Lonchura striata: one gene and its partners. The protein of the gene in region 4 purifies or fractionates together with the protein of the main gene of each other region. This does not show direct contact. Links are inferred from orthologs where the notes say so. Each region holds a gene or a part of one and is shown on either strand. Other genes may lie near its edges.

Evidence for each region.
Region 1: the proteins of SF3A2 (region 4) and RBM17 purify together in Homo sapiens (affinity purification with mass spectrometry; 4 studies listed by BioGRID and IntAct, counting the BioPlex papers as one, with this or other methods). This does not show direct contact. The link is inferred for Lonchura striata from reciprocal best matches to the Homo sapiens genes SF3A2 and RBM17.
Region 2: the proteins of SF3A2 (region 4) and CHERP purify together in Homo sapiens (affinity purification with mass spectrometry; 3 studies listed by BioGRID, with this or other methods). This does not show direct contact. The link is inferred for Lonchura striata from reciprocal best matches to the Homo sapiens genes SF3A2 and CHERP.
Region 3: the proteins of SF3A2 (region 4) and SNRPB2 purify together in Homo sapiens (affinity purification with mass spectrometry; 6 studies listed by BioGRID and IntAct, with this or other methods). This does not show direct contact. The link is inferred for Lonchura striata from reciprocal best matches to the Homo sapiens genes SF3A2 and SNRPB2.

What each region holds. Positions count from the first base shown.
Region 1 is NC_134607.1:69,612,651-69,620,566, forward strand, and holds the start of RBM17 (splicing factor 45), read right to left. Parts: upstream 3,012-7,916; 5' UTR 2,942-3,011; intron 1,798-2,941; 5' UTR 1,780-1,797; coding exon 1,657-1,779; intron 560-1,656; coding exon 443-559; intron 1-442. UniProt on the Homo sapiens protein: Splice factor that binds to the single-stranded 3'AG at the exon/intron border and promotes its utilization in the second catalytic step. Involved in the regulation of alternative splicing and the utilization of cryptic splice sites.
Region 2 is NC_134630.1:4,531,882-4,539,571, reverse strand, and holds the start of CHERP (calcium homeostasis endoplasmic reticulum protein), read right to left. Parts: upstream 3,004-7,690; 5' UTR 2,931-3,003; coding exon 2,906-2,930; intron 2,818-2,905; coding exon 2,644-2,817; intron 1,127-2,643; coding exon 945-1,126; intron 164-944; coding exon 26-163; intron 1-25. Other genes in the region: phospholipid-transporting ATPase ABCA7, read left to right, coding at 7,325-7,390, 7,506-7,599. UniProt on the Homo sapiens protein: Involved in calcium homeostasis, growth and proliferation.
Region 3 is NC_134605.1:3,353,059-3,360,231, forward strand, and holds the start of SNRPB2 (U2 small nuclear ribonucleoprotein B''), read right to left. Parts: upstream 3,007-7,173; 5' UTR 2,940-3,006; intron 2,659-2,939; 5' UTR 2,647-2,658; coding exon 2,583-2,646; intron 1,425-2,582; coding exon 1,252-1,424; intron 746-1,251; coding exon 605-745; intron 193-604; coding exon 142-192; intron 1-141. UniProt on the Homo sapiens protein: Involved in pre-mRNA splicing as component of the spliceosome. Associated with sn-RNP U2, where it contributes to the binding of stem loop IV of U2 snRNA.
Region 4 is NC_134630.1:2,945,564-2,952,604, reverse strand, and holds the start of SF3A2 (splicing factor 3A subunit 2), read right to left. Parts: upstream 3,013-7,041; 5' UTR 2,903-3,012; intron 2,212-2,902; exon of another isoform or gene 2,192-2,211; intron 1,182-2,191; 5' UTR 1,139-1,181; coding exon 1,013-1,138; intron 1-1,012. Other genes in the region: PLEKHJ1 (pleckstrin homology domain-containing family J member 1), read left to right, coding at 3,308-3,401, 4,455-4,522, 5,495-5,561. UniProt on the Homo sapiens protein: Component of the 17S U2 SnRNP complex of the spliceosome, a large ribonucleoprotein complex that removes introns from transcribed pre-mRNAs.

The DNA of each region.
Region 1 (7,916 bases), on a different chromosome or scaffold from region 4:
ACACAGACTGTTCTCCTCTAATCTAAAAGAACCATTCAGAACTTTTCCTCTGAAAAAGCTGCAGAGAGTTTATCTTGATTTCTTACCATGAGAAATCAATTTAAAAGGTTAGAGGCTTTAGTTGTTTTATTTTTCAGTTGATTGTTATACACTTCCAGTTCCAACACTGGTGCCAACACAATTATAGTCATTATTTAGCTGCCCAAATTGCTGTCTTGCCAAATAATTTGAAGATGTCCAGGATTTTAAGAACACTGTTTTGTAACTGCACATTAACTATGGTGATTCCATGCTGTAGCACATGTAAGTCTGAATGATGTTGAAATGTTAATTAAAGAACTCTCAGCAGAGGAAGATATTCTCAGAAAATAATCAGTTTTTTGACCACTAGGAAGCATTCAACTTCCAAAACATTTGGAAATTTTAGCTGTCCTGGTCTTACCTTTAGCCCAGCTGCTACATGAGGGGGTGTGTCCACAATCTGTCTCTCATCAGAGGAGCTGCCTCGTTTCAGGTCAATCACTGGAGCAAGAACTGTGGTTTGTTTTGTCCTCTGACTCTGCAAAAATCAACAAAACACACAATGTCTAAAAAAGATAAAGCAGTTTTCTAAAAATTGGCTTACTTGATAGACTTTGCTGTGGCAGGTGGATGGTCCTAAGTTTTCACTGGGACCAGAAACACACATGGAAAATTCATCCAATCACTTCAGGTGAGTTTGAACTGAGTTAGTTTCTAAGAAACTCAGATTTATTCCAAAGATCTACTGTTCTTCCCATCTATCATCAGATAAAATATTTTAAACTCTTCTGAACTGAGTTTTCTAATCCTATCTTATTCTTCTGTTAGGCTATGGATACACTGCACATCGGGTACATGGAAAAAGAATATAACTAATACAGCAGTCAGTAAATTTCTTCCATGAAGTTTGTTCCCATTATCAACTAAATCCTGCTTCCAATTTCTGCAGCATAAATAACGAGTAATTACAGTGAAAAAAATGCTGTGGCTACTCAAGTATCTGGCATCAGTGCTACTGCTTCTTCCTTTAATTAAGTAACCTCACTACAGAACCTACAGTGCCTCAAAGAGCACCTGTGTCCTGCCTGAATCAAAATATCAACACTGCTGAAAGAATAAGGGTGAAATGAAAAGAAGAAGCAATAAAAAGAGAAAATGGCTCTGTCACAGTCTAACAAAAATCAGCTTGCACTCCTCCTTTTCACCTACTCTGGAAATACTTGGTGTAAAATTTCTAATACATAATGATTTGCAGGTTAGCACCAAGATGCTTTTCAATAACAACCATAAAATGATGTAAACATGTAAATAATCACAGTGTGACCCCTACTTACATTAAAAAAATTTTTATAAAGCTGAATCTCATTATCTTTAAAGCTAAACTTGAAGATCAGCTTTTGGCTCTGCTGTTAAAAGTTCAGAGGTTTGCAGCACATACATCAGTGCTTCCTTCAGTTTTAATTTTGCAACACCCCCTCTAAGAGACATCAAGAAATACACGTTTTTCCTTTTTCCCCTTCAGCTTTGTCAGGCTCTCTGCTACAAACTCACAGACAAATGTCAGCAAATTCTGAGGTCACAAACACAATGCACTGAACACGAAAAACAGAAAGAAAAATCACAAAGGGACTATACCTTTGCTTGTGTGAGAGCTGCTTTCTTCACCTGCAACTGCGACTGCAGCAGTTTGAAATTCTTGGACCAGCCTTCTGTTTTAGAATCGCTGGTCTCAACCCCCAAGTCATCGTAAAGTGACATTTTCTCTTCAATTTAAAACTGAAAGACAAAATAAAAGAAAAAAAAAACTCTAGATGACACTACAAGCCAAATTCCAGGTTATTTGCTAACAGTTTCATACATGGGTACACCACCTTTTATTTCACTTTTCCTAAAGCCAGAGAAAATGCACTTCTTTCTGGTGAGTAGTAAATACACATAACTAGAGCAATGCTGTACAAAAGTAACAATTTGAAAAGTGATGAAAACTGTTCAAGAATTAATTCAATCCTGCAGTGGAATATGAACAATTAGGGCTCAACAGCAAGAAGTTTACTGCAAAAAGAAAAAGGAGGTTTTGAAGACTATTAAACATCTGGCCTCGGGATGAAACACAGCAGGGGTTATAAAGGCACAGATGCACAGGATGAGGACAGGGTGTTGTAGCAATTTCCACCTGCCACAGAGCAGTGGGATTTTGGCAGCTGGGGAGTGAGGAGACAGCATGATTCTGGGGAATCACAGAATCAGTCAATGTGGAAAAAAAAATCTCTGAAATCATCCAACCTGTGACTGAAGATCAGCTTGTCACCCAGACCAGAGCACTCAGTGCCGCATCTATTTTTCCCTTGGACACCTCCAGGGATGGGGACTTCAGCACCTCCCTGGGCAGTTTATTCCAACACTTAAGTACCTTTTCTGACAAGAAATTCTTCCTAATATCCAGCCTGAACCCCGCCTGGCGCAGCTTGATGCCATTTCCTATTGTCCTGCCGCTTGTTACGTGCGAGCAAAGCCCGACCCCCACCCGGCTGTCCCCCCTATCAGGGAGTTGTGGAGAGCGAGAAATTCCCCCCTGAGCCTCCTTTTCTCCAGGCTGAGCCCCCCCAGCCATTCCTGCTCAGACCCTGGACAGCTGGCTGGACGCAGGGCTGGCGCTGTCACCGCGGGGAAGGGACGAGGCAGCGAGTCACAGGAGCTGTCCCCACAGTAAAAGGAAAGGTGGGCAGCGATCTGGGAACAGCGGGGGCGAAGCAGGCCCTGACACCCCCCCCCCACACACACACACTCCGCACAGGCCGGGAGCCCCCTGGGAAGCCGCTGAGCGTGGCACACCCGCCCTACCCTGCCTTCCCCTGCCTGCCCACACCCAGCAGGGCTCAGAGCCGCCTCCCCACACGGCCGGGCCCGGAGCCGCCCTCACCCGTCCCGGCGCCGCCGCCGCCGCCGCCGCCATCAGCCGGCGCTGAGCCCGCCGGGAAGGGCCGCGCCTGCGCACTGCGCCCCGCGCCGCCGCCGCGCCGGCGCCCCCCGGCGGCGGGAGGAGGGAGCGGCAGCGCCCCTCGGCCGGCGGGACGGAAACGTGAGGGGATTTCGAGATTTTAGAGCAGCGAAGGTTTTAGTCAGAGGTGTGAAAAACTTGCCAATCACCTGGGTTTTAAAATGTTAAAAAGTTTAATGCTGATAAAATGGTTATAAAAATAATCATGCAATTAGAGTAATAAAGTTTAGAGTTAGGGCAATTACAAGGCAATAAAAAGCACTCGGACACTCTTGGACACTAAATCACAAAAAGCATCCCTTGTGAATAAAGGAATAACATTAAACCTATACACTTGTTGCATATTCATACATCCTTCATGGTTATGCATACATTCTATTTAAAACAAGAACTCTCTTGTATATCAACTGTTCCTTTAATCCGCATGGTGTCTTCAAATCTGTGCAAGGCCTGAATAAATTAGTTTCTTCTGATAAGAAGCCATAAATTCCTCTCCTTTGGAAGATTTAGGTGCTCCTTGAAGCGAGTATCTCATTCCTAAAAAACCTTCCCCCACGTACATAGTCTCTATTTTAACATTATGTTGGAACCTAAAACTATATTTTGCACACTACTGAAGAGAATTAATACAGCATAACTTCCTAACATTACACATATAATATTTATTGTAATATTTGAAAAAGCCAATCATAAATATGCGTTTTTCACAGAGATAAGCCTTACTAGAGTTAATTAAAATAAATGAGTAGGCCTTGATTAGGAGTTAGTAGTTAACTAATAATTGATTGTTTGTCAGCACAATGTTTAGTTAGCTGGGTTTATAATGAAGAATATAGAAACTGAAAATAGCTTTTAGGAACATAAGACTATTGTGGGGCTCCTCTGTTCTGAAACCAATTGAAGGCAAGGAATGCGAGTTCTACCAAGAGTTCATTTGTCATATTTGCATTGAAAAGATAGAAAGGTCAGAAGGAGGAAAAAACTTCATTTACTTCCTCATTTTGGGACCCCTCCCCATGGAAGGGACACCGACCCATTTCAAGGAACAAACCACGCATGCTTAACAGCTTTTGGAGTGATTAGCATATGAAAAGAGGAATAGGATATACCAAAATGATGAATATGGATTTTTATTTTGGGTATTCAATACTTGTATGGATAAAAAGACTCTGTAATCACTTGGAAGCTGCGGTGTGGATTTGGGAGCTATCCCAGTGTAGAATAAACACACACTTTCTAACTTTAAGCTGTTTGAGAGTTTTTGTCCATCACAGCTGGATATTGGTACTAGATCAATATCCATATTTTTTTAATAAATCAGTGGGAGGGTGGCACGGCACATCCCAAGGGGCTGGATTTACCCCCAACACTGTTTGCTCTGGATGTTCTGTTACAATTTTCCATACCGTGTTTCTAACTCCTTAAGTAATCTGTGGTAGTTTATACAGTGAGTAACCAGTCTCCATGGCTGTTCAGTATTTCTAGTTACCTACCAAGGGCATCTGAGATTTTGGGCAGGAAAATGGAGACAATTACATGAAATTCTTCATGAAGACTCTGGCAGCACTGAGAAAGTTACGAGAACAGAGGACTTATTCTTCATCAATTTCAAACAATTCTGTCTGTTATTCCAGCATGTTTGCTGTCATTTTGCTGTGCCATCACTGTCACTGAGGTCACTGGGTAATTGCAAATATTGCAAAATATTTGGCTATTAGAAGGTCTTGCTGCATTATGTCATTTGGGCCTGAAGTGGACTTGTTTGGTCTGCCAAAACAATCTTTGTTTTCTAAAAACCTTAAAATTCTGCATCTGTCTGAACCTGGAATTTACCCAACCATACCAATTTCCCAGCCCAATATCCTGCACTAATTATTTAATATCTTCTCTTTGACAGAGGCAAAAAAGGATTTTCTTTTTTACTTACGCTGCACTGGTGTGTCTCCAGCTCATACCAAGCATGTGAAATAGATGAGCTGAGTTTTCTAAGAATTATGGCCACTTGCACCACATGATGAGCAAATGAACATGCAAGACTGTCTGCAAAGCCAAACGCCAGCCCTGAAGCAAATAGACCTGGCACCTCAACCTCAAAATATTACAAGCACTATCTCTGTATTAATCAGAAAGTCTTTATCTCCAGCATTGCTTCTGACTGTGCTACTGTGCAGTTTATTTCCCTGTGGTTAGCTGAAAAAATAAATAAAATAAAGCTACTACTTCCTCTCCTACTTATGCTGCTTTCTATTAACGCAGTACTTCTAAATACATTTACATATATGTCTATTTTCATCATGACAGTGAAAGTTCCTTAAATATAAAAAGAAATTGTCTTCACTTTATTTATAGAGGATCTCCCAAGCATCTTCCTGAGGTTTTTGCGTTAGCAATGCCTGCATTTTTTAAAGGAAGGATTGATATAATTCACACATCTGTAACCTTGTGGAAGAAAAATAAAATCAGCAAGGGACTACTTTTACAGCCTAAGAGTCCCACTGAGAAAAGAACCATGTATCCTATGTTAAAGGAAGGAATCAAATAATTAATTGCATCAAAAGGTACAGAAAAAAATCCCTGTGGATTGAGATGTCAGAGCAATATCACAGCATGACAGACACTGGGAGAAACTCAAAGGAGATTAGAGTCTGCAGAGGTGGAAAACACGAGAGCAACGGGAGATTTTGGTTCCTCCTCAGAACAAGTCATAACAGGGAGGGTAAAGGCTGAATTATCAGACCTGTAAATAACTACCTATTAAAGCCATAAATCAGATAACTCACAAGGAGAGAAGCAGCTCTTGGTTAAGCCTGGAAACTGCAGTAGGCATGGATCAAAACTGATCCATCACTGTGATAATAGCCACAGTGTATTTGTACACGCCCACTTAGAAGCAGAAGAGCCAAGAAAATCCTTCTCATTAAATTTGGGGAGATAAAGAAACCTCACCCTGCTGCCAAGGTCCCAGACAGACTGGAAATGGAGGAGAAATATGTGAGCTCATCCCCAGCATTGCAGATCTTGCAGGTGGGTTAATTGTGGCTGAAATCTCCTTTTCATCTGCAAAGGTGGGGGAGCACTGGCCAGCTCTCTGCCTCCTACAGACCCTCATAAATGTTGAAGCGTGATCTTCCAGCTACTTTATTTTCCCATTCGTATTTCAAACCTTTCTATGCTGGTGCTTTTCTTCTTGAATCTCACTTGTGATTGCTGAGTCACCAGTTCTACCTGCCTTTCTAATCTCATGTCGCTCTGTCTTTATGTTTTCTTGTAGCCCTTTTCTCCCAGCTTCACAATTTTCTCATTGTTTTGAGATGAGTTTGATGCAGCTGGGTCTCCTGAACTAGGAGAGGAGAGAGGAGAGGAGAGGAGAGGAGAGGAGAGGAGAGGAGAGGAGAGGAGAGGAGAGGAGAGGAGAGGAGAGGAGAGGAGAGGAGAGGAGAGGAGAGGAGAGGAGAGGAGAGGAGAGGAGAGGAGAGGAATTATAGGGAGATCCAAAAAGCTGTGAATAAACTGATTTTCCCACTGTGAGAAGAGCCACCAGCCTTGGTTGGAACTGCTCATTGTACCAACAGCCCACCTGGAAAAGGTGTACAGCCAAGGTGGTGAAATCTGCTGCAAATCCCAATTTTTTTCAGAGTAATCAGCCAAAAGCTGTAAGCAAGAAGTTGCAGAAGGATAGCGTGGCACTGGCTCAGTGATGAGATAGCAGATGGGGCCCACTGTTAATGAATGCAAAGCAATGCACACAAGACAAAATAGCACTAACAAAACACACACAGCAGCAGCTCTAAATCAGCTGCTTCCATTAAGGAAAGAGATGCTGCATTCATTGTGGACCATTTTCCTGAAATGCCTATTTAGTGAAGGAAGGAAGCAGGAAAGCAAACAGGCTGCTGGGAAGCATTAAAATCTTAAAAAAGGAGAACGTATCCTCATAAATCCAACACGCACATGAACGTTTGAGTGGCCACCTGCACTCCTGGGTATCTCATCCTCTCCAAGAAGCAGCAGTGCAGTAAAAAATAAAGAAATCAGATGTGCTGGGTGAAAACAGGCAGCTGAAGGGGACCTTGGAAGCATCAAGCACCCAAAATGGCCCAGAAAAGGTAAATAGGGAGTTCTCATTTTTCTCCCTGATGGTGATCTTTAAGAATGTGTAAAATAAAGCAGTGCTGGGATGGGGAAAAAGCAGCCATTAAATGTCTCATTTATGTCTCATTTCCCTAAAGCATTGATAGCAGTTTTTGGTGGATGTGGATGATTTGTTTTATGTTGCAGATCTCCTCTGAGGGTGAGGGGTGCTAATATGCCGAAATGGCATTAGAGGGCAGTGCATGGCAACCTAACTGGAGTTTTCTGGGGTGGCTGTGAGAAACCACCCTTCAGAACCTCTGAGGATGGGGACAACAGAGCAGCTCCCACTCACACAGGTGGGAAATGGTGGGGATCAGCACGTGGCACAAAAGCAAAACATGAGGGCTGATCAGAGCAATGTCAACCTGTTCAAAATCCCATTAATTGGTGGTTTCCAGCCAATGGTGGAGATCCCAAGCAGAGAACCAACCCTGCTACACACCACACTTTTTTTGGTGACCCTGGCAGAACCTCCAAACCTTTCTGGATTTTTTTTTTTTTTTTTTTTTTTTTTTTTTTTTTTTTTTTTTTTTTCCCAGAAAATGCTTGCTGCTGTCCTCCCAGTGATCTTCAGCTTTGCCCACTGGGCAAAATCAAATATGATGAGGAAAGTCCCAGAGGAAAACTTGTCCTGGCTTGGGAAAATCAGCTTAGGTTTGCTGCCATAAAAAAAAAACAAACAACCAAATCCCAAACTTCAAGGAGTAGCAACCTGAAGGAATTGAAAACAGAAAGGCATTGGAAATATTCTTTCTTCTGCTAA
Region 2 (7,690 bases), about 1.6 Mb from region 4:
CCCTGTGCAGATTCAGATCACTTACTGAGATTGCATCTTTTGTGCAAGTGTCAATTATTGGCTGCAACAAGTTGTCAAATTCGTTCATATCTAACTGGGTTTCCTCCAAAACCTTTTGCATTTGTTGCTCGATTGCAAGGGCAACTGCTGATGTGACTTGTTCCTGATAAAAAACAAACAAAACAGAAGCAAACAAGAAAGAGAAAGAATTACATTATAGCCAAAATTCTTTTAGAGAATGAAGCTGCTGTATCCTTATCCTCTTGGACCTAAGGGCTATCTCAAGGACCAACATCCTTTACAAGCCCTGTGACCTCATGAAAATGTTCCAATTGAAATGGTTCTGAAAAGACTCTTCACATTTTTACAGAGAAGTCCAGTTTACTTCTACTTCTAAAATCTATCATGTAATAAAAAATAATTGCAAGAAGCTCTTAAAGGTAAGGAATATAACCAAGGCACAAGAAACTCTTCAGTTTGGTTTTCAGCAGCTTTAACAGCTAAATGTCTCCTGCAAAAATCAGCTAGTTGATAGCACACAGTTCCCTTCCATCTCTAATCACATCTAAGTGGGAATATTACAACCTGGAACATCTTGCAGTTCCCAGCAATCTGCAGCATTAAACCAAAGTTTAAGCAGTCACAATTCATTCCACTCTAAAACTAACAAGATTTTTCAAAGAGCAAATAGAAGGCTCTAATCACAGATCACTCATCCCATAATAATATAACCCCTATGCAATCATAACCCAACCTACACACCAGACACGTCCATTCTAGGGGAACGATGGCATTTGCCACGCAACAAAAACAAAGAAAGCAACATCCCTTCTCCTCACCTCCAGCACCGCTCAGCAGCAAACCATCCTCTCCCCCTTCACTCCTAATTCCTGCAGCCACTGGCGGGCCAGGACACACCAGGAGAGTGTTGATCTCAAACCAACCTGTCTCATAGCCAGGAGATGCTGCTCCTGCTGCTGCAGGTTCCACTGACTCTGCTGGATGAGCTCCTCCACAGAAGGGGTGCCCTGAGGGGCTGGCATGGGCGCAGCCGGCGGGAGCGATGGCTGTGGCAGGGGCTGGATCTGTGCCGAAGCCTCGATATCTTGGCTTTGCTTGCACAACACTATCAGACAGAGCAAACTTTGAAAGTAAACCTCCCAGAGAAACCTGCTACCACCAGCCCACGGGTGAAAATGGCTCCAAAGAGACTGAGGGGGTGAGAGGGGTCTCCAGAGCTGCTTTGACAACGCTCTCAGATATTTGGTGGGATTATTGGGGTGTCCTGCGCAGGGTCAGGAGTTGGACTCACTGATCCTGGTGGGTCCCTTCCAACTCAGCACACTCTGATTCTACACTTAACCCAAAATCACGGGTGGATGGTGCCAAAGAGGAGAGCCAGCACCTTCCAGAGGGACAACAGCAGGACCAGCCCCGCTCTGGTTCTGCAGGCGCTTGAAACGTAAATTTTAAGGAATTTAGATTTTAGCGGAGCTAAGATTTTAGTTAGAGATAAGCCTTACTAGAGTTAATGAAAATAAATGAGTAGGCCTTGATGAAGTTAAGAGTTAGTAGTTAACTAATAACTGATTGCTTGTCAGCACAATGTTTAGTTAGCTGGGTTTATAATGAAGAATATACAAACTGACAAATAGCTTTTAGGAACATAAGACAATTGTGGGGCTCCTCTGTTCTGAAACCAACTGAAGACAAAAAATGAGAGTTCTACCAAGAGTTCATGTGTCATATTTGCATTGAAAAGGTAGAAAGGTCAGAACGAGGAAGACTTCATTTACTTCCTCATTTTGGGAAGGGATCACTGACCCATTCAAGGAACAAACTACTCATGGTGAATAACTTTTGAAATTATTAGCATACGAAGTGAGGAATGGGATATACCAAAATGATGAATATGTATTTGTATTTTGGGTATTCAACACTTGTATGGCTAAAAGGACTCTGTAATCATCTGGAGGCTGCGGTGTGGATTTGGGAGCGATCCCACACACAATAAACACACACTTTCTAACTTTAAACTGTTAGAGAGTTTTTGTCCGTCCCAGTTGGATATCAGTATTAGATCAATATCCGTATTTTTTTTAATAAATCATCTTGGCGATGATTTATTAAAATAGGACTCTGCTCTCTCTGGCCGTGGGGGTCAAAAAATCCCGCTGAGCTCCGTCCCACCACGCTGCCCGTCCCCAAAGCCACCACCGGGACCGTGAGGAGCCGGGGCAGCGCTGAGCCACCTCCCGGGAACCCTGAGAGCAGCCAGAGGCTGAGAGCGGTCCCGGCGGAGCGGGGAGAGACAAAAGCGTCTGGGGCCGGCCGAGCCCCGGGGACCGCGGCCGAGCCCCGGGGACCGCGGCCGAGCCCCGGAACCACGGCCGAGCCCCGGGGACCGCGGCCGAGCCCCGGGGACCGCGGCCGAGCCCCGGGGACCGCGGCCGAGCCCCGGGGACCGCGGCCGAGCCCCGGAGCCGCGGCCGAGCCCCGGGGACCGCGGCCGAGCCCCGGAGCCGCGGCCGAGCCCCGGGGACCGCGGCCGAGCCCCGGGGACCGCGGCCGGGGCGGCAGCGAGCCCCGAGCCGGCCCTGCCCGAGCCGCAGGCCCTCACTCACTCACAGAGCCCCCACTCACGCTGCTGCTGCTCCAGCGCCAGCTTGTACTTGTAGTAGCCGTAGAAATCGCCCCCGAAGAGGAAGGAGAATTTGGGGTTCTCCTTCTGCTTCTCCATCGTCATCTTCTCGAACTCGGGCCCGTTCCGCGCCACAAACTGCGCCAGCTTGTCGATGACATTCCGCAGCTCCTGATCTGTGGGGAAGCACGGCCGTCACTGCCCGCTCTCCCCGCGTTCCCCGCTGTCCCCCCGCTCCCCCCGGAGCCCCGGATCGCCGCTCACCCTCGGGCGGCAGCGGCATCTCCATGGCCGCGGCTCCCCGGCCCCGCTGGGCCGCGCCGCGCGCCGCGACACCCGCGCGCCCGCGCTTTACGGCAGCGTCGCCGCGGAGACGGCAGCGGCATCTCCATGGCCGCGACACCCGCGCGCCCGCGCTTTACGGCAGCGTCGCCGCGGAGACGGCGCGCGCGCGCGGCGCGGCCTGAGGGGCGAGCGTCTGCAAAGGGTTTGAAATTAAAGCGCGGGGATGTGAAAAACGCCGGTCGCTTGGGGTTTTAAAACATTTTTTTAAAAGTTTAATAATGATAAAATGATTATTTTAAAAAGCGGTCCAGGGAAAACAGACCGCTGTTTTTGACAGTAATTAATTATATTAACTATAACTATAACTATAACTATAACTAACTATAACTATAACTAACCTATAAATATAAATATATATAAATATAAATATAGCTATAAATATAAATATAAATGTAAATATAAATATAAATGTAAATATAAATATAAATATAAATATAAATATAAATATAAATATAAATATAAATATTTTGATTATAATTATATATTATATAATTATTCGTAAGAATAATCACGAGAAACTGGTCGGGGGGGTTGGGAAAGGTCACAAGAAACTCATGCTTGAATAAAGTCAATGTATACAATAGAATAATATAAGTTTAATATGTAAATTGTATAATGATAGAATAGAAAATATATAACGATAGAACTTATAAACAATATAAGTGTAATAATTAATATGTAAGTTATATAATGATAGAATATAAAATATGTTCAGCTCGAAAGCCGTGTCAGAGTCAGATTTGGGTCTGTACCCCTGATTCCCAGAGCTCTTCAATAAAAGCACCTGCATAGAATCATATCCCATGATTATGTGTGTGTGAAAAACACCAATCACTTGGTTTTTAAAATTTTAAAAGTTTAATAATAATAAAATGGTTATAAAAATAGTAATACAATTAGAGTAATACAGTTTAGAGTTAGGACAATTACAAGACAATAAAAAGCAAAGAATTATGGATGTCTGGATGCTCTCAGACACTAAGTCAAGAAAAGCATCCCTTGTGAACAAAGGAGTCACCCTTAAAACACTTGTTGCATATTCATAAATCCTTCATGGTTATGCATACATTCTATTCTAAACAAGAAACTCTCTTGTATGTCAGCTGTTTCCTTTAATCCCCATGGGGTCTTCGAGTCTGAGTAAGGCCTGAAGAAATTAGTTTCTTCTGATATGAAGCCATAAATTCTTTTCTATTGGAAGATTTAGGTGTTCCTCAAAGCGAGTATCTCATTCCTAAAAAAAAACTTCCCCACATACATAGTCTCTATTTTAACATTATGTCGGAACCTAAAACTATATTTAACACACTACGTAAGAGAATTAATACAGCATAACTTTCTAACATTATGCATATAATATTCATTGTGATGTTTGTGCAAAGCCAATCATAACATATGCATTTTTCACAGGGATTTGGGGGTTAGAAAGGAAATTAAGCTTAGTAGGCGCTGGGAAAATACCCTGGGAAAGTAAAGTGTAGGTCTTGTACTTGCTAGAACTGCACCTGTGTACCTAGTACACGATAAATGATGTAATTGTTAGATGTGATGATTGTTTAATTATGCTCTATTAATTTTCTTAAGCAGCGTGTTAAATACCCTGCGCCATTCGGGATTTTAGGAGGTGGCAGCCCACTCGGGGCCGCAGCCCACTCGGGACCACATCCCCCTGGACACGAACGCCGACCCTTTTCCATGGAAAACAAAAGCCACCACCCCGTTTCCTGCGGCTTTGCCGGAGGCGCTTGGCACTGCCCGGGCTGGGGATGCTGGCAGCTTTGGCCGGGCGGTGTCCGAGCGCCGCAGCGACGTCTCCTGCTCCGTGCGGTTTTTAATGCAGATGCTCTCAGACTGAAACCTTTTATTAATAAATAAATAAATAAATAAAAGCCCTTCCGACATGAGCAGGAGCTGGTTTCTGCTGCAGGCTGCTTGTCAGGGCTCTCTCTGTGCCCGGGGGGCTGCGAGCTGCTGCAGAGCTGGGTGAGACCCCAGAAATGCCAGTGCTGGGGATGCTGCGAGTCCCAGGGGAGGAGCGGAGCCGGGAGCGGGCTGCGGACTTAGTTGATGTGCGGCTGATAAATGATGAGTGATGAACAGCGCCGGCGGGACGGGACGTGCCTGTCCGGGAAAGGATCCGCTTTTTTTGGGAAGAGCCGCGCTCCTCCGTCGGGCTCCCAAGGGTGGGGCGGGATGGGATGGGATGGGATGGGATGGGACGGGATGGGATGGGGATGGGATGGGGATGGGATGGGGATGGGATGGGGATGGGATGGGATGGGACGGGATGGGATGGGGATGGGATGGGGATGGGATGGGATGGGATGGGGATGGGATGGGGTGGGGTGGGGATGGGGATGGGATGGGGATGGGATGGGGATGGGATGGGGATGGGATGGGGATGGGATGGGGTGGGGTGGGGTGGGATGGGATGGGACGGGATGGGACGGGATGGGATGGGGATGGGGATGGGGATGGGATGGGGATGGGATGGGGTGGGGTGGGGTGGGGTGGGATGGGATGGGGATGGGATGGGATGGGGATGGGGATGGGGATGGGGATGGGATGGGGATGGGGATGGGATGGGGTGGGGTGGGGTGGGGTAGGCGGGGCTCCTACTCCCCCCCACGTCCTTGCCCCTTTAAGAGCGGCTCCCGTGACGTCACGCCCTCGGCTACTTTGTAGCGCGGGGAGGGCGGGGCCCGCGCGCGCCCGGCGGAGCAGCGGGGTCTCTTAAAGGGGCCGCGCAGCAGCAGCAGGTAACGGGGGTCCCGGGCCGGGGGCTGCGAGAGGGGAGAAGAACGAGGGGAGGCTGTGTCCCGGCTGCGGGTCTCGGCTGGATGCGGCCGCTCAGCGTCCCCCGAGGCTCTTAGTGCCTCCCCGCCCCCCCCTCCCCGAGGCTATTCCCGTGTCCCCAGCGTAGCCCCGAACTGTCCCCATGTCCCCTCTGGACTGTCCTCACGGTCCCTTCGAGCTGTCCCCATGCCCCCCCTGGGTTGTGTGTATCTCTCGCGGGCTGTCCCCACTTCTTCCCGACCTGTCCGCCCCGCGGTGACTCCGCACCCCGCCCAGAGTGGGGCGAACCGGGCCGGGGGACGCGGGGTCGGAGGGCGCCGGGGCCGGGAGCCGTCGGTCCGGCGGTTGCCGGGGTCGCGGGGTCCACCGAGCTCCCGGTTGCAGCGATGCTGCGTGTTTGTCCTCGTGAGATGAGTGAGCAGATTCCCACGCGAGTCCCCCGGGAGGATCCAGGGAATCCTGTGGTTGGTTTGTCCCGAAAAGAGCCGCCGCCCCCGCGGGGCTGGGGCTCCCCCGGACCGGCAGTTCCGCAGCACCCTCCGGTTCCAGCGGCTGGGGACACTCAGACACCTGTCTCCCCGTGTCACCCCCACCTGGCAGCTGCTTCTGTCTCCCCGTGTCACCCCATCTGACCCTTGTGCATCCCCGGAGGAATCCTGCCCCGGACCCACTCGTGTCCGGCCCCGCAGGCCGATTAGGCGGATTTCCCAGCTGGGATCCTAATCCCGCTGCCCCGTGCCCGTTTATCCCGGCTGCGCCCGGGACCCGGCTTAGCCCCGGGCGCGGGCGGCGGCGGCGAGCGCGGGGCGGCGGCTGAGTGAGCGGCTCCCCCGGCCCCGGGGAAAAGCGAGGGGCAAGGCGGGGGTGGTGGTGCCCAGGGAGCCGCCCCGGAGCTCGGTTCTCCCGGGGCGTGGGCGGGTGCACCGGGCGGAACGCTGCGGGTTGGGTCGTGCCGCCGCCGCTACCGGGCTCGTCACCGAGCCGCCTTGGCAGAACTTTGCTGCCGGGCCCCGGAGCTGCTGGCCCCGCTCCAGAGGTGGGTGAATTCCCAGGAACTGGCAGAGACGTGGGTGCTACCCGTGGGATCCGGGTGTCGGAGCTCGCGCCTCGAGCCCGCTGCACCGGAGAAATTCCGCTCCTGGGCTGATGAGAGCCCCACCCACATCCCTCTCATGGGGAAACTGAGGCACGGGCAGGTCTCAGCCGCTCCTGGGCTGCCCACATCGTCCGGAGCTACTCCAGGGGTGCCGGACTGCTCTCTGTGCCTGGCGTGGGCAGTGAATTGGGCTCTTGGGCAGAGCTCGTGCCCCATTCTGGTGCTTTTGATTTAGGAAAGAATGTGACTTGAGCCTTTAGCTCCGGAAAGGAGCTTTGCTGCCGGAATGCCAGCCCCGGAGCTCAGCCCTGTGCCCGGCACAGTGCCCGGGCTGTGATAAGCCCCGAAGCAGAAGCAAGCGAGAGCCCAGCCGTCGCCCTCAGCTTGGGGCTGCCCCCCCTGCTCCCACCCGCAGCCGGAGCCGAGCGGGGCCCGCGACCCCCGCGATGGCCGTGGGCACCCAGCTGGGGCTGCTGCTCTGGAAGAACTTCACCTACCGCCGGCGGCAGCGGGTGAGTGGGCGATTGGGCTGGGGCTACCCAGAGCGGCTGGTGCCGGGCACAGGGGCAGGCAGAGCCCCGGGCACTGATGGGGATCGGGACCCCACCAGCCTTGCTTCTCCCGCAGATCCAGCTGGCGATCGAGATCCTGTGGCCCCTCTTCCTCTTCCTTATCTTGGTCTCAGTGCGGCGATCCCACCCGCCCTTCAAGCAGCACGAGTGTGAGTGTCCCCGCAGGACCTCCTGAGCCAGCTAAGACCCCTCTGTGTGCCCCTGTACGGGAACCCTTCGGGGTGGCACGGGGGGGACAAA
Region 3 (7,173 bases), on a different chromosome or scaffold from region 4:
TGTAGCTGTTAGTCAAATGTCTCATAGGACAAAAACAAAGCTGTAAAATATATCCTCAAGTTCCCATGTGTAACAAAATATTATTAATAGATAATAATTAAAAACATTAGTGCTTTTAGTGATAAAAATAATAAACATTACCTGATTCTGTGGTGTAGTCCCTGGGGCACTGGCTGAATTCTGTGTTGCACCCTAGCAAATAAGCACAAAATAGTTTTACAAAGATGCTCCTTTTTTTTCCTTTTCTTAAGACGCTAGTTTCTACTTTGGTTTGTTGTACCTTTGCCCTACATCTTTACTTGTATGTGGCAACAGCAAACAAGAAAAAAGAATGAACAGCAAGGACTATATAACCAGCCCCCTCTCCTTCTACTTCTAGTAAATGCTCAAGAGCTCCAGATAGTCAACAGACCCCAAATTAGGGAATTGAAAAGTAACAAAAGACAACATCAAATCCTAAAAAATTATTTAGAATAGCTTTTTTGTGTGTTTTTTTGTGGTTTTCTTTCTTTGTTTTTTTTTTTTTTTTTTTGGGGGGGGGGGGTTTGTTTGTTTATTTGGGGTTTTTTGGTTGGTTTTTTTTCTGAACAGAGAAGCAGCTTACCTGGATAACTTTTTTATTTGGTGCATTTGCTGACTGTTCCAGAGTTTTGGCTTTCTTCTTTTCCTTTCTTTTTTCCTTATCAGCAAAAGTCCCACGCATTTTAGAGATTATATCAGAGTCTGTTTTTGCATACTGAATACGCTTTTTAAAAGAAAAAAATAAAAAAAATAAAAACAGAGTATATTCTGCAGTCACTAATACTGAACAGTTTGCACCACGTACATTAACTCTGTATTTACACCCTTTTTGTTTTTGCAGAAACCTTTTATATTAAAAACATTGTTATAAAATGTAGGTACACTTATGAAGTAAACAATTCTCAGTTTTTTCTGAACACAAATACAGAAGTCTAAAAAAAAACCCTAATATGGAAATTATTAACTTTAGTTCATTGAAATTGGAACTCCATTTATCTAACATCTTTTTAACATCTGCCAAGGTAGCACCTACAGGGAGATTCATTTGAGCTACACAGAGGACATCTGAGAAAATCAGAACTAGCTTCTATTAAAACTGCCAGTTTTCAGTCCCATTTTAAAGGGAGTTAAAATTTGACAGTGATTTCCAAGATCTCTGCAGAAATGTAAATTCAGCAAAACCCAAACTTCTCAAACAGAAAAGGCAAGTATCTTACAAAAACAACTTACCATTGGTTTCCCATAAAATGGAAAGCCTTGTAGCTGTCTCAAAGCATTGGTGGATGATCCAAGTTCTTTAAATATAACAAATGCCTGTCCTCTCATCTTCATGGTCTTTAAAGCCACAATGTCGACCACATGACCGAACTGTGAGAACAACGCGTACAGGGACCTCTTCAGCTCTGGGCACCAGGGAGAAAACAGATTACAGCAGGTCACAGGCAAATCCCCACTTCTACCAAGACTGCTGTCCTTTGGGAGCAGTGTTTTTTACAAGCTGTAGCTCACACAGTGAGTGCACGAGTTTGTCAAAACTGTTGCATCATTACAAATTTATTTGCCCAGGTTTTGTAAACTGGTGTGCAGCATTTGGTTTCATACCTCAAGGATTTACGTACTGAAGAAGTTATAATGCCATCCATTCTGCCATTCCAAGGGAGGAACAATTACATAAAGGGATGTAAAAACGTATTTTCATACAGGTATATGCACACACACTCAAGCATGATGAATGACAGCCATCTCAGACTGATTAGAAAATCAAAATTGAAACAAGCAGCAGTAGAGACATGATGTAAAACAAGAATGCAGCAGAACAGTAACTACCTAAAGGCTAATTAAAGTTGGACATTTAATCAATTTTCTCACTCACATGAAGTATTTTTTCGTATTCTGGATCCAAATTATTTTTGTATGAGACTACTGCAGCTTACACTGGATTTACTTCAATTATCTACAATAACCTGAACACATGCCAAATTAAACCTTAACACTATCCAAATCAAGGTAAATAAATAATCTGTATTGTGTAATCATTCAAACACAAAAACCTTACATTTGAACTATTGCACCTCTCCCGTGAGGAAAGGCTGAGAGATTTGGGGTTGTTCAGCCTGGAAAAGAGAAGTCTTAGGAGTGATCTAACTTTGGCCTTTCAGTACCTGAAGGGAGCCTACAAGATGGAAAAGGACTATTTACAAGGGTTTGGAGCAACAGGACAAGGGGGAATGGCTTCAAACTGAGAGGAGGCTTAGATGTGATATTGGGAAAATAGCCTTTACTGTCAGGGTGGTGAGGTGTTGGAACAGGTTTCCCAGAGAGCACTCCCCATCCCTAAAAGCATTCAAGACTGGGCTGTAGGGAGACCTCAGCAACCTGATCTAGTGGGAAGTGCAATTATTTGCTTTGCTGCTGTTTCATTACAACAAGGCGTTTGCCTAGAGCTCAGCTCACGACCAACTCCTGCTCAGCAATTCAGAGACGTCGGGGAGCTCCTAAAATCCCTTTTGTAAGACAAGTGCCGTGTTGGACAACCAGAGGCGACCGGCAGCCACTCGTACCTTCCTTCTTGATCTTGTCATTGATGTTGTTGATGTAGATGGTGTGGTTCGGCCTGATGTCCATTCTCAGCAGCACCTGCGGGCAGAGCACACGGGAGAGGCGTCAGAGAATTCCGGGCAGCGGCACCTCATATCCCCGAGGAGCTGCACCTCACATCCCCGGGGAGCTGCACCTCAGAGCCCCGGGGAGCGGCACCGCGAGTGGGGGGGCAGCGTGTCCGTCCGTACGTCCGCCCCGACCCGGCTCTTTCCGTGCTGAAGACGGCTGCGACACTGCAAGACGGGAACTGCAGAGAGGGAACCCCGATCCAGGCCCTCCCTGCACCCCCCCGGCCCCCGGCCCTGAGCGCCCCTCACCGCGGCGCTCCCGCTCGATGGCGGCCGGCGCGTCCCGCCCTCAGGCGCGTCCCGCCCGCCGGCACGCAGCGCAGGCCGCAGAGCCGATCGCGGAGCCGCCGATGGCCGATCGCGGAGCCGCCGATGGCCGATCGCCGAGAGCGCCGATGGGGAGCGGCGGCGTTAGGGAGGAAAGGGGATAAAAGCCTGATGGGATAAAAAGGGATAAAAGGTTGTTTTCGGCTGAAATGGGCGTTTCTTGCCCCAGGTTTGGCTCTGTCCTGTTCTAATAGAGAAATAAGCGAAAATAAGTGTGGTTTGGGTTTTTTTTTGTTTGTTTTTTTGTTGGGTTTTTTTTTTTTTTTAGTTTTTTTCATCTTTTTTTTTTTTTTTTTTTTTTTTTGCTTGGTTTTGGTTTTGTCAGGTTCAATTTGCTTTTTCGTGGTTTTTTTTTTTGTTTTTTTTTTTTTTTTTTTTTTTTTTTGTTTTTTTTTTTTTTTCTTCTTTTGTCTCTTTGCAGCGCCCAGAGCAGCAGCTTGGGAAAGCATGGAATGGTTTGGGTTGGAAGAACCTTAAAGGTCATCTAGTAAAACCAACCTGCCATGGACATGGACAGCTTCCACTAGACTGTGAATAATGCCTATTTTAGGATTGGCTTTTCATAAATATTAATTTGAATAATGTATTATATGTGAATAATATATATATATAACATTATATATAATTATATATAATAGTATAATAATTTATATACTAATATAATATATATTAATTTATATACTAATATAATATATATTAATTTATAATTATATAATATATTAATATATTAATATATGTAACAGTATATATAATAATATAATAATATATTTATAATAGATATAAAATATTACTTTGAATGCTATATTATGGTATACTATACTATATATATGTTATATTGATTAGAAGTGCTGTATTTACATTTTAATAGTATGGTAAATGTAGTTTTGTAGTTAAAATAGAAACTATGTATGTGGGGGTTTTTTTTTAAGAGAACGTGATACTCACTTTGAGAGAACAATCACAGAACACCCAAATCTTCCAGAAAAGAGGAATTCATGGTTCTCTTTTCTAATTTCTTCAGGCCTTGCTCAGACTTGAAGACACTGTGGGGATAAGAAGAAGCAGGTGACACATTCCAGACAGAGTTTCCTATTTTAAATAGAATGTATGCATAAACATGAAGTCTGCCTGAATATGAAAGTATGATTTTTATTTTTATGAGTATGATTTTTAAGGGTGATTCCTTTGTTCACAAGACATGCTTGTCATGGCTTAAGTGCCCGAGAGCATCCAGACGTCTGTAAGTGTTTGGTTTTTATTGCCTTGTAATTGTCCTAACTCTACATTTTATTACTCTAATAGTATTACTGTTTTTATAACCATTTTATTATTATTAAACTTTTAAAAGCCAAGTGATTGGTGTTTTTCACACAACCCAGCCATGAATACCCATGGCACAGCTTCTCTGGACAACCCCACCACCCTCACAGTGAAGTATTTCTTCCCAATATCCAGTCTCAACCTGTCCTCTTTCAGTTTGAATCCATCCCCCCTTGTCCTATCACTCCATAACTCTGTAAAATATTGCTCTCCAGATTTCTCCTTAGAAATAAGGCTTCATTTATTAAACCTCTCCTTATAAATTAGGCCCTTTCTGAAAGGCCACAGTTAGGTCACAGCAGAGCCTCCTCTCCTGGCTAAGCAATCTGTGAAAAACACCCATCTCTTGTTTTAAAATTTTAAAAGTTTAATAGTAATAAAATATTTATAAATTAATAATAAAAATTAGAGCAGTTAGGACAATCAGAGTTAGGACAATAAAAAGCAAAGAATTACAGATGTCTGGATGCTTTCCTCTTGAAAGCATGGCTCGCTAACAAAGGATTAACCCTTAAAAGCAACAGCCTGTTGGATATTCATATATCTCATACCTGATGCATAAATACTTTTCAAACAAAGGGTGTTCTCTGGTTATTGTCAACTTCTTCCCCTTAATCCTCCTTAAAGACTGAGAAGAGGTGGAAGGATGTTTATCTTTTCCAATAAGGAGGCAGTAACTCTTAGGTGTCTTGTTGCTGTTACCTCTGTGCAAAGAATTTCTTGATAATCTCATCCCTTTCTTGAGCTAGTCAAAAAATATCTTACATCACATAGTTTCTACTATAACATTATGTTATAATCTATAACTCTATTAACCACACTACTTAAAAAGGATTAATACAGTACTACAAAGTAACTTCCCAACATAGCACATATAGTATTCATTATAATATTTGCGAAGAGCGCCAATAATTTAATATGCATTTTTCACACAATCCCACTTCCCTCAGCCTCGCCTCATAGCAGACAACCTCCATCCTGCAAACCACAATTTTGTCCCTTCTCTGGACTCTCCCCACAAGTCCATGTCCTTCCTGTGCTGGGTGAAGATCACAGAGCTAGATGGGAGAATGCAGAAACTTCAAAATGTAAACATTCAGTAGGCAATATTTGGTTTTTGTTCCAATATTGAAAAGGCAGTGTGTTTTTTTGAATGGAATTTCTTGAAAGTACTTTGAAAATCCCTCTGGCAGTGCTGTCTCAGCACAAATAAACTGCAGAGATTGAGGTTGCAGCCCTTGAATTTTTGGAATAATTTTGCAGGCTGCATGCCCTCATTTCTAGGAATTATTAGGCAGGCTTTTTTCAGAAACAATTTGAAGTTGCAATGGTATGCATATAAAAAAGGAGTTCTTGCAGGGGAAATACTTCGTAATCAATAAATTAATTTTTGCTGAAGCTATAAATTATATTGGGGCAGGCCAACTCTTTGTAAAGAAGCAGGAATATTAGGCAGAGTTCTTGGTTCAGTAATATTTCAGGGAAAAAAAAAAAAAAAACAAAAAACCATTATTCCAGATCCCAGAGTATGTAGGAAGTATATAAAGAAAAACATGGATTAAAGGGATTCAAAAATAATAGCCAAAGGCAAATAAGCTGTTGACTGAGGTGTCATTCACTGGTGGAAGGAAACAGTGTGTACTGCAGTTGTTTACAGCAGAACATGGTGTGGGAAGTGTTGTGCCAGGGGATGCCTTATGAAATGCATACACATGACAGATTCAGAATGTGAAAGGCAGGAGTTCTGATCAAGTTTTAGGGTTCTATTTATTTTTCTTTGTTAATTGCCTTTGAGTTAGTTGTTAAGATAAAGTACAGCTTTCAAATCCAAGTCTGAACAATACATTAAAATTTCTTTTTTGGAAAGGCTGGCATCAGCAGTACAGTCCATGTAACTATAATTTATTATCAATGTTCAAAAGTGCTTATTTGTTACTGAGTCAACGTAGATAAAAGACCTGGTCTCACAGAATCAAAAATCTTGACATTTTATAAATTCTTTTTAAAATTAAGTCCTTTAACTGCCCATAGAGAAGACATTCTGAAAAACAAACACAAAAAACCCTGTCAACTTTACACAAAGTATGGAAAAATTAATGGCTTCTATATTTTATCCAGCACAGCATGCCACACTTACATTTGCTCAGAGTCACTTTAAGGACAGCTGATTTACTCTTGCACTATTGGAATGCAATAAGGCTGAAAAAATGCATCTTTCCAGCACCTCAGATGGGATTTCACAGCCTGACTGCCAGTTCAATAAAAGGGACATTCATTCCTCAGGTTGACTTCCTCCTCAATTCCCTAAGGTTCATTTGAATTACTTCTGTTTCCTTGACCCCCAAACAGAGGTATAGTACTCTCATATGCATTCAAATGGTCATTTATGTTGTTTATTTAAAAGTCCCTAAATGCTAGAAATATTGTAAAAATTACTTCAAATTTCTTAGAAAGAGTAGCTGCAGCACCTTAATAACCAATTATGATTCATCACCCATAAAATGGGCTGGGAACACACTTTCAGCTTGGACAGGTACCAGCTTTATCAGAGGCTACCAAACAACTCTGGAGAAACTAAACAAAGGGCACAGGGTTCTTTAAAATATCTGTGCAGCCACCACTTTCTCTCTTCTGCCCTTTGCTTAAGGTGAAGGAAACCCAGCATTTCATTGTTATTGCTGCTGTTTATTATGAAACCTGTAATAAAAATCAAGGGTGTCTTTTTTCTTCATCTTCCTTCTCTAAATTCAACAAAACTCTCTGAGGTATGAATAGCCAAGAGCTGTTTATGGTGGAAGCTTCACAGCTTCATGGCCTTGATTGTGTCCACACTTAG
Region 4 (7,041 bases):
GGGGGGTCTGTGCAGGGACAGAAGCTGGACTGATGATCCCTGAGGGTCCCTCCCAGCTCAGGATACCCTAGGATCCTGTAGCTGAGTTCAGATTTTAAATTAACAGCACAAGAGAGGTTTAGGAGGAGGAAACAAGAGAGAACCAACAGCAGCTATGTGTGCAGTGGTGACAGAATTCCCAACTGTAGCAGGAAACACCACAACCCAAACCAGCCCTGGGGAGACTGGAAATAGATGGATACACAAGAGCTGGCACCTCCTTGTCACTCTGTCCTAAATATTCCTTATTCAACCCCCACATGCCCAGAAACAGATGTATTTAAACCCAATCCACACCTCAGCCTGGAAACAAGGAGGCTCTGGGGTGACCATAAAGCCTAAAGGGGCTCCAAGAGAACTGGAGGAATGTCGCCCTGATTCTTAAGATTTTCTAAAGCCTTCTGAGTTTCCATTCTGTTAGAGAACTTTCTCACACAACTTTCTGTAAACAACTTATTGTTCTGCATTCCTTCATAGAGGTGGAGAAACTTGATGTACTAGTAGTTTGTCCAATGTCATTGGAGAGGTGGCACTTGCACCCTCCAATCCACTGTTACCTTTAAAAAAGTATAAATGCTGGAGTCAGAAAATAAACTCTTTCTTTTTCACCTTTGCAATAGTAGCAGCTTGTGTCATGCTTTCATGTGTCCTATACCGACAGAGGAAAACTTTGGAAAAGGGCCTGGAAGGACAGGACAAAGGGAAATGGCTTCAAAGAGACCAAGAGTAGGTTTAGATGGGAGACTGGGGAAAAATTCTTGGCTGTGAGGGTGGGCAGCTGGCATGGATTTCCCAGAGCAGCTGTGGCTGCCCCTGGATCCCTGGAAGTGTCCAAGTCTAGGCTGGACAGGGCTTGGAGAAACCTGAGATGTCCCTGGATGAGCTTTAATGCTCCCTTCAACCCAAAGCACTGCAGGATGCCATGAATGTGACTGTGCCCGGTGTCCCCCGGGCTGCGGGGGCTCCCCTGCACCTTGTTGATGTCGATGGTCTCCAGGGCCAGCTGCCGCAGCCGCTCCCGCCGGTCCCGGTTGCTCTCGGAGGCCGAGGCCACGCCCCCGCTGCCCGTTTTACCCCCGGGCCGGTGCTGGAAATCCATGCTGGGGATTTCTGGGCTTCAGCTCCTCCTGGAGAAATGGAGTCTGCCAAGAGGAAGGAGTGTCAGGGACAACTGAGCCACAGGACTCTTCAGCCGCAGCAGCGAGGGTGGGGGTGACACCCAGGCATGCCCCAGGCACACAGCACGGGATGCAATCCCACATGGAGCACATCCGGCACCACCGACCTGGGAAAGCCGAGTACGGATCCAGAAAATCCCCCCGGAGCCCTTCCCATCACCTCAGCCACTCCAAGCCCAGCTGGGCCCCACCAGAGGAGCCTTCCCCCCTCACCTGAGGTACCAACAGCCCCAGAGCTCCTCCCTGACCACCACCAGGTCTATGCTCCCCCACCACCCCCAAAGCCCCAGGGCCACCCCCAACACCAAGGGAGGGTCAGAGCCCCCCAAGCCCCCCAACAAGGTCAGGGGTTCTGAGCAATGTCCCCAAGCCCCAGGTGAGGTCCTGGAGTCCCCCCTGCCCTCAGCAAGGTCAGAGCCCTGCCTAGACCTCCCCACAGGGAGCCCAAACACTGGAAAGACCTTTGAGGAACCCCAAATCCTTCCCCACAGAGCACCCAGTTCTCCAGTGTCTCGTCCCCAGTCCCTCTCCAGCCACATCCCCCTGTAGCTTCAGTCCTGATTCAGCCAGTCAAGGCCCACTGACTCCCACTCAGGTGCTCTTCCCCATCCTCCCCACACTCCCCTGGCCCTACCCCAGTTTCCCACTCGTGATTCTCCAGCTCCCCCAGCCCCACCACCCCAGTTCTCCTAGTCCCTCCATTTCCAGCACCCTCAGTTTCTCCAGCACCCCCAGTCCTCCCACCCAGGGCACCCAGTTTCCCCAGTACTTTTCCAGTAGCTCCATCCCAGTTCTGCATTCGGCAACCTCCAGGTGCCTCCGTTCCTGCCCCGCTGATCCTCCCAGTAACCCAAATCCTGCCCTGGTGCTACCCTGGTTTCCCACTCGTGATTCTCCAGTTCCCCCAGCCTCACCACCCAGACCACCCAGCACTCCCAGTCCCTCCTCACCCAGTTCTCTCAATTCTTCCTTACCCAGCTCTCCCAGTCCCTCCTTCCCAGCTCTCCAGTCCCTCCTCACTCAGCATGCCAAGTCTCTCCATACTCCAAACTCCCAGTCCTTCTTCACCCAGTTCTCTCAATTCCTCCTCACCAAGCTCTCCTAGTCTCTCCATACCCAGATCTCCCAGTCTCTTCTCCCCCAGTTCTCTGAATCCTCCTCACCCAGCACTCCCAGTCCCTCCTCACCCAGTTCTCTCAATTCCCCTTCACCCAGCATTCCACATCTCTCCATACCCAGCTCTCCCAGTCTCTCCATACCCAGCATTTCCAGTCCCTCTTTCCCAGCTTTCCAGTCCCTCCTCACCCAGCATTTCCAGTTCCTCCTTTCCCAGTTCTCCCAGTCTCTTCTCTCCCAGCTTTTGCAATCCCTCCTTTCCCAGCTCTCCAGTCCTTCCTCACCCAGTTCTCAATTCCTGCTTCCCAGCTCTCCCAGTCTCTCCATACCCAGCATTCCCAGTCCCTCTCTTCCAGCTCTCCCAGTCTCTCCTCACGCAGCACTCCCAGTTGCCCAGCCCCGACTCCCCAGTTCCCCCAGTCCTGCCCCGTTCCCCCTCAGTCCCCCTCTCCCCTCAGTTCCCCCTCTCCCCTCACGGCCCCTCTTCAGTCCCCCTCTCCCCTCATGGCCCCTCTCCCCTCAGCTCCCCTCTCCCCCCTCTCCCCTCAGGGTCTCTCCCCGCTCCGAACCTGCGCGCGGCCGCGCTCCCGCCCCGGCGCCTGCGCGCTCCCGCGGCTCCGCGGTGTTTCCGGCCCGCCGAGGCCGTTCCGGCTCCGAAGCCGTTCCGGGCCCGCCGAAGCCGTTCCGGGCCCTGGAGCCGTTCCGGCCCCGAAGCCGTTCCGGGCCCCGAAGCCGTTCCGGCCCCGAAGCCGTTCCGGGCCCTGGAGCCGTTCCGGGCCCGCCGAGGCCGTTCCGGGCTCCGAAGCCGTTCCGGGCTCTGAAGCCGTTCCGGGCCCCGAAGCCGTTCCGGCCCGCCGAGGCCGTTCCGGGCTCCGAAGCCGTTCCGGCCCCGGAGCCGTTCCGGGCGCTCTGAGGGCGCTTCCGGCGGCGCTGGGGCGGCCCGGGCGGGGCCGTGGCCGGGGCCGGGGCCCGCCATGCGCTACAACGAGCGGGAGCTGCTGTCCCTGGCCCGGCAGCCGGCCGAGAAAGCGGCCGAGATCCGCATGAGTGTCCCCAAGAAGGGCAGCGGTGAGCGGGATCCGCGCGGGGCGCAGCCGGGGCTGGGGTACCGGGGCGGGAGCGCGGGGGGATCGGCGCTGCCTGAGGGGCCCCGAGCGGGGAGGCAGGGCTGGGACAGCGGGAGCGGTGTGCGAGGGGAGCTGCGGCGGTGGGGCTGAGGATACTGGGGAAACTGGGGCGGCTCCGAGCCGGGACTGGGCGAACTGGGAGTGCTGGGGGAGGCAGGGGAAGGTGGGACAGGACCGGCGGTACCTGGGGGGCAGAGTCGGGACTGGGGATACTGGGAGGGACTGGGAAGGTGCCGTGGGTGGTGGGGCTGGGGGAACTGGAGAATCACGAGTGGGAAACTGGGGTAGGACCAGGGAAGGGCTGAGGGTACTTGAGGGGCCCCGACTGCAGAATCAGAACTGGAGCTGCTGGGGGAAGAGGCTGGAGAGGGTCTGGGGGAGCTGGGTGGGAGGATTGAGGGTACTGGAGAATCCAGGCTGGGAAACCAGGGCAGGACTGGGAGTGCTGGGAGGCAGGGCTGGGGACAGGCAGGCTGGGAGGGCTGGAGTGTGGCAGTGGGGAGCACGAGTGCTGGGCTCCAGTATGGGCGTGCAGGGAGGTTCTGGGGCTGGGCTGGGGCCAGGGAGATCCCCCATTTCCAGGGGATCTGGGGAAGAAGGTCTTCCCTGAAATCTCCTAGAAAATTCCCCTGCAAACAAGCAGTGTTGTGCTCACTCCCTTGTCCTGAGCCTTTCGTCCTCTGAGCACCTGCTGGACTTTGTCCCGTGGGGGTGACGCCCGTGCTGGCAGCTCCAGGCAGGGCTCCCAGGATCCGGAGCTTTTCCTGGAGTGCCTGGAGCCCCGTGGTGCTGCTGCTGTGAGCTCTGACTGCCCGGGAGCTGCTCAGGGGCTTTGTCACCCTGAGGCCACTCAGACACTGTCACCCTGAGGGAGCAGCCTCGGGGGGTGCCTTGGTGGGGTCAGCGCCACGCTGGGCCCTGGCAGGGTGGGCAGGGCTCCCCTGCTCCCCGTGCCCCTGCCTCAGCCCTGCCCTGCTCCCTTGTGCCCCTGCAGTGCTGAAGAAGCGCCTGGTGAAGCTCGTGGTGAACTTTCTCTTCTACTTCCGCACCGATGAGGCTGAGGTAGGGATTGGGCCTCTGCGTGGGGTTTGTTCCCCTCCTCCTTTCTTCTTTTTCTATGCCTGGATTGTGTGGGCTGGGAAAATGGTGCATGGCAGAGCTGGAGCAGGGTCCACCTTCCATCAGTTCAGCAGGGCTCCAGGAGAGCTGGAGAGGGACTGGGGACAAGGCCTGGAGGGACAGGACACAGGGAATGGCTCCCAGTGCCAGAGGGCAGGGCTGGATGGGAGATTGGGCAGGAATTGTTCCTGGCAGGGTGGGCAGGCCCTGGCACAGGGTGCCCACCCTGGATCCCTGGCAGTGCCCAAGGCCAGGCTGGACAGGGCTTGGAGCAGCCTGGGATGGTGGAAGGTGTCCCTGCCATGGCAGGAGTGGCACTGGATGGGCTTTGAGATCTCTTCCAACCCAAAGAGTTGTATGAAATGCAAGATAAATCAGGTCTGCAATCCCTTCCCTGCTGCCTGATTTGCTTCTGACATGTTGGTTCACTTGGACAAGGATTTCTTGTGGTTGCTTTTGTTCATGGCCAATGTCACCTGCTGTCCCCGTGTCCCTGAGTAGTACCAGGTGGTTTTTTGGTCATCCTCAGCTGCTGCAGCTCTGCTCACACTTGCAAGGCTCCAGGACAGCCCTTGCATAGCTCAGTGTTGGTTATTCTGGGTGTCACAGTAAATGTTTCATCTTTGATTTTAAAAGCAAATGTTTTTCTCTGGTATCACAGAGTGGTTAAGACCAGGCTGAAACTGAGCCAGTAGAGATGATTGACACCTAATTAACAAATGCAAAGTGTTGCAGGTGAGACTGGCATGAAAAGGTGATTAAAGGAACATGAAATATGGTGCAATCAGAATGAATTATTCAAAAGCAGCACCAGCTTGTGAAAGTTGCTTAAAAGGCTCCAGGGAAGTACCGTGGGTTGAGCCCTCGTGGTGTTGGGGCCCCTGTGGGTTAAACCTTCTCTCCATGTGTTTTCAGCCCATTGGAGCTCTGCTGCTGGAGCACTGCAAGATCACCAAAGAGGAGGAGAACGTCTTCTCCATCAGTGAGTGCTGCCTGTGCACCCCTTTGCCTTCCCCTGGTGGGAAAGGGAATGCTGAATGCTCAGTTCTGCTTTCCCCTGTTTCCCTGGTGCAGTGGGGTCAGCTCAGCCCTTCCCCTCCTCAGTGGGGTCACTGCCCCCAGCCCTTCTCCTCTCCCTCAGTGGGGTCAGGGCCCTTCAGGTGGGGGTCAGGCTCTGCTCCCAGGGAACAGAGGACAAGACAAGAAGAAATGTCCTCCAGTTGTGCCCAGGACAGGTTTAGATTGGATACTGGGGAAAATTTACTCACCAAAAAGGTTTGGAAGTACTGGCACGGACTGCCCAGGGCAGTGGTGGAGTCCCCATCCCTGGGAGTGTTCAGGAGATCTGTGGATGTGGCACCTGGGGACAGGGGTGAGTGGTGAACCTGGTGGTGCTGAGCTGATGGTTGGACTTGATGGTCTTAAAGGCCATTTCCAACTTTACCAATTCCTCAACCTTTCCCCTCCTCAGGTGCCAGCTGTTCCTCACTGTGCCTGTGGCCATCCCGAGGAAAGCTCAGGGATATTCCATGGCACAGCCTGAGGGACTTGCACAGCTGCACGTGCAGAGCAGCACTAAGAGCAGCCAGGCCCCACTGCCTGCCTGTGGAATCTCTGGCAGGGGGAGCTTGGTTATTGACAGATCTGCTCTGTGCTGCTGCATTTTATCCAAAAAACACCCTAGAGAGGCTCAGATAAAGCTGCTCCAGCCCCATCCTCCCCTCTGTGCGTCCTTGTGCAGCGGCAGCTGGGCCAGCTCCCCTGGGAGCAGCCTTTCATCCCGCAGCTCTCCCCTCTGCCAGAGGTATGTGGCCACAATAACAGGATGTTTCTCCAAGGCCATCCCTGTATCTTTTGGCCTGGCTGCCAGGCACAGCTGTGGTTCTGCTCTGTGCTTCCAAAGGACCCACAAACTGCCTGAACACACTGAGCCTGGAGCACCATGTGCTGGATTTTGGGGCTTTAGGGATTTTGGGAGCTCTGGTGGAGGAGGATTCCTGAGCAGGGTTAAACCCAGCGGTACCTGGTGTTGGGATGTGTCCACAGCCCATCCCGAGGTGCTGGTGCAGCCTGACCCAGGTGCTTGGCAGCAGCAGCCCTGAGGGTCTGCTCAGCAGAGCTTTGGGGACAGGAACTGGTGGCATGTCCTGGCTCTGTCCTGGTCAAGAACTGGAGTGGCACCAGGACCTGCTCTCCATGGTGGGAGTACCATGTGAATACCACGTTCCCAAAAGCTTCCAGCAAAGGCAGCTCAGGGCCTTCTCCCAGTGCAGTTTAACTCCTCTGTTGGCTGCTCCCTGCAGGTATCCCAGTTCCTCTCTCAGGGCTGTTCCCACTTGGATTTAAATTCCTGGTGTCTTTGCAAGGGGCCTCAGGGAGTCAGTCCTGGATCTGGCCGTGTGGTCCAGTTCAATTCACCCTCAGTTTGGGAAGCTGCTCTTCCCAAGGTCTCTGGCTGCTGT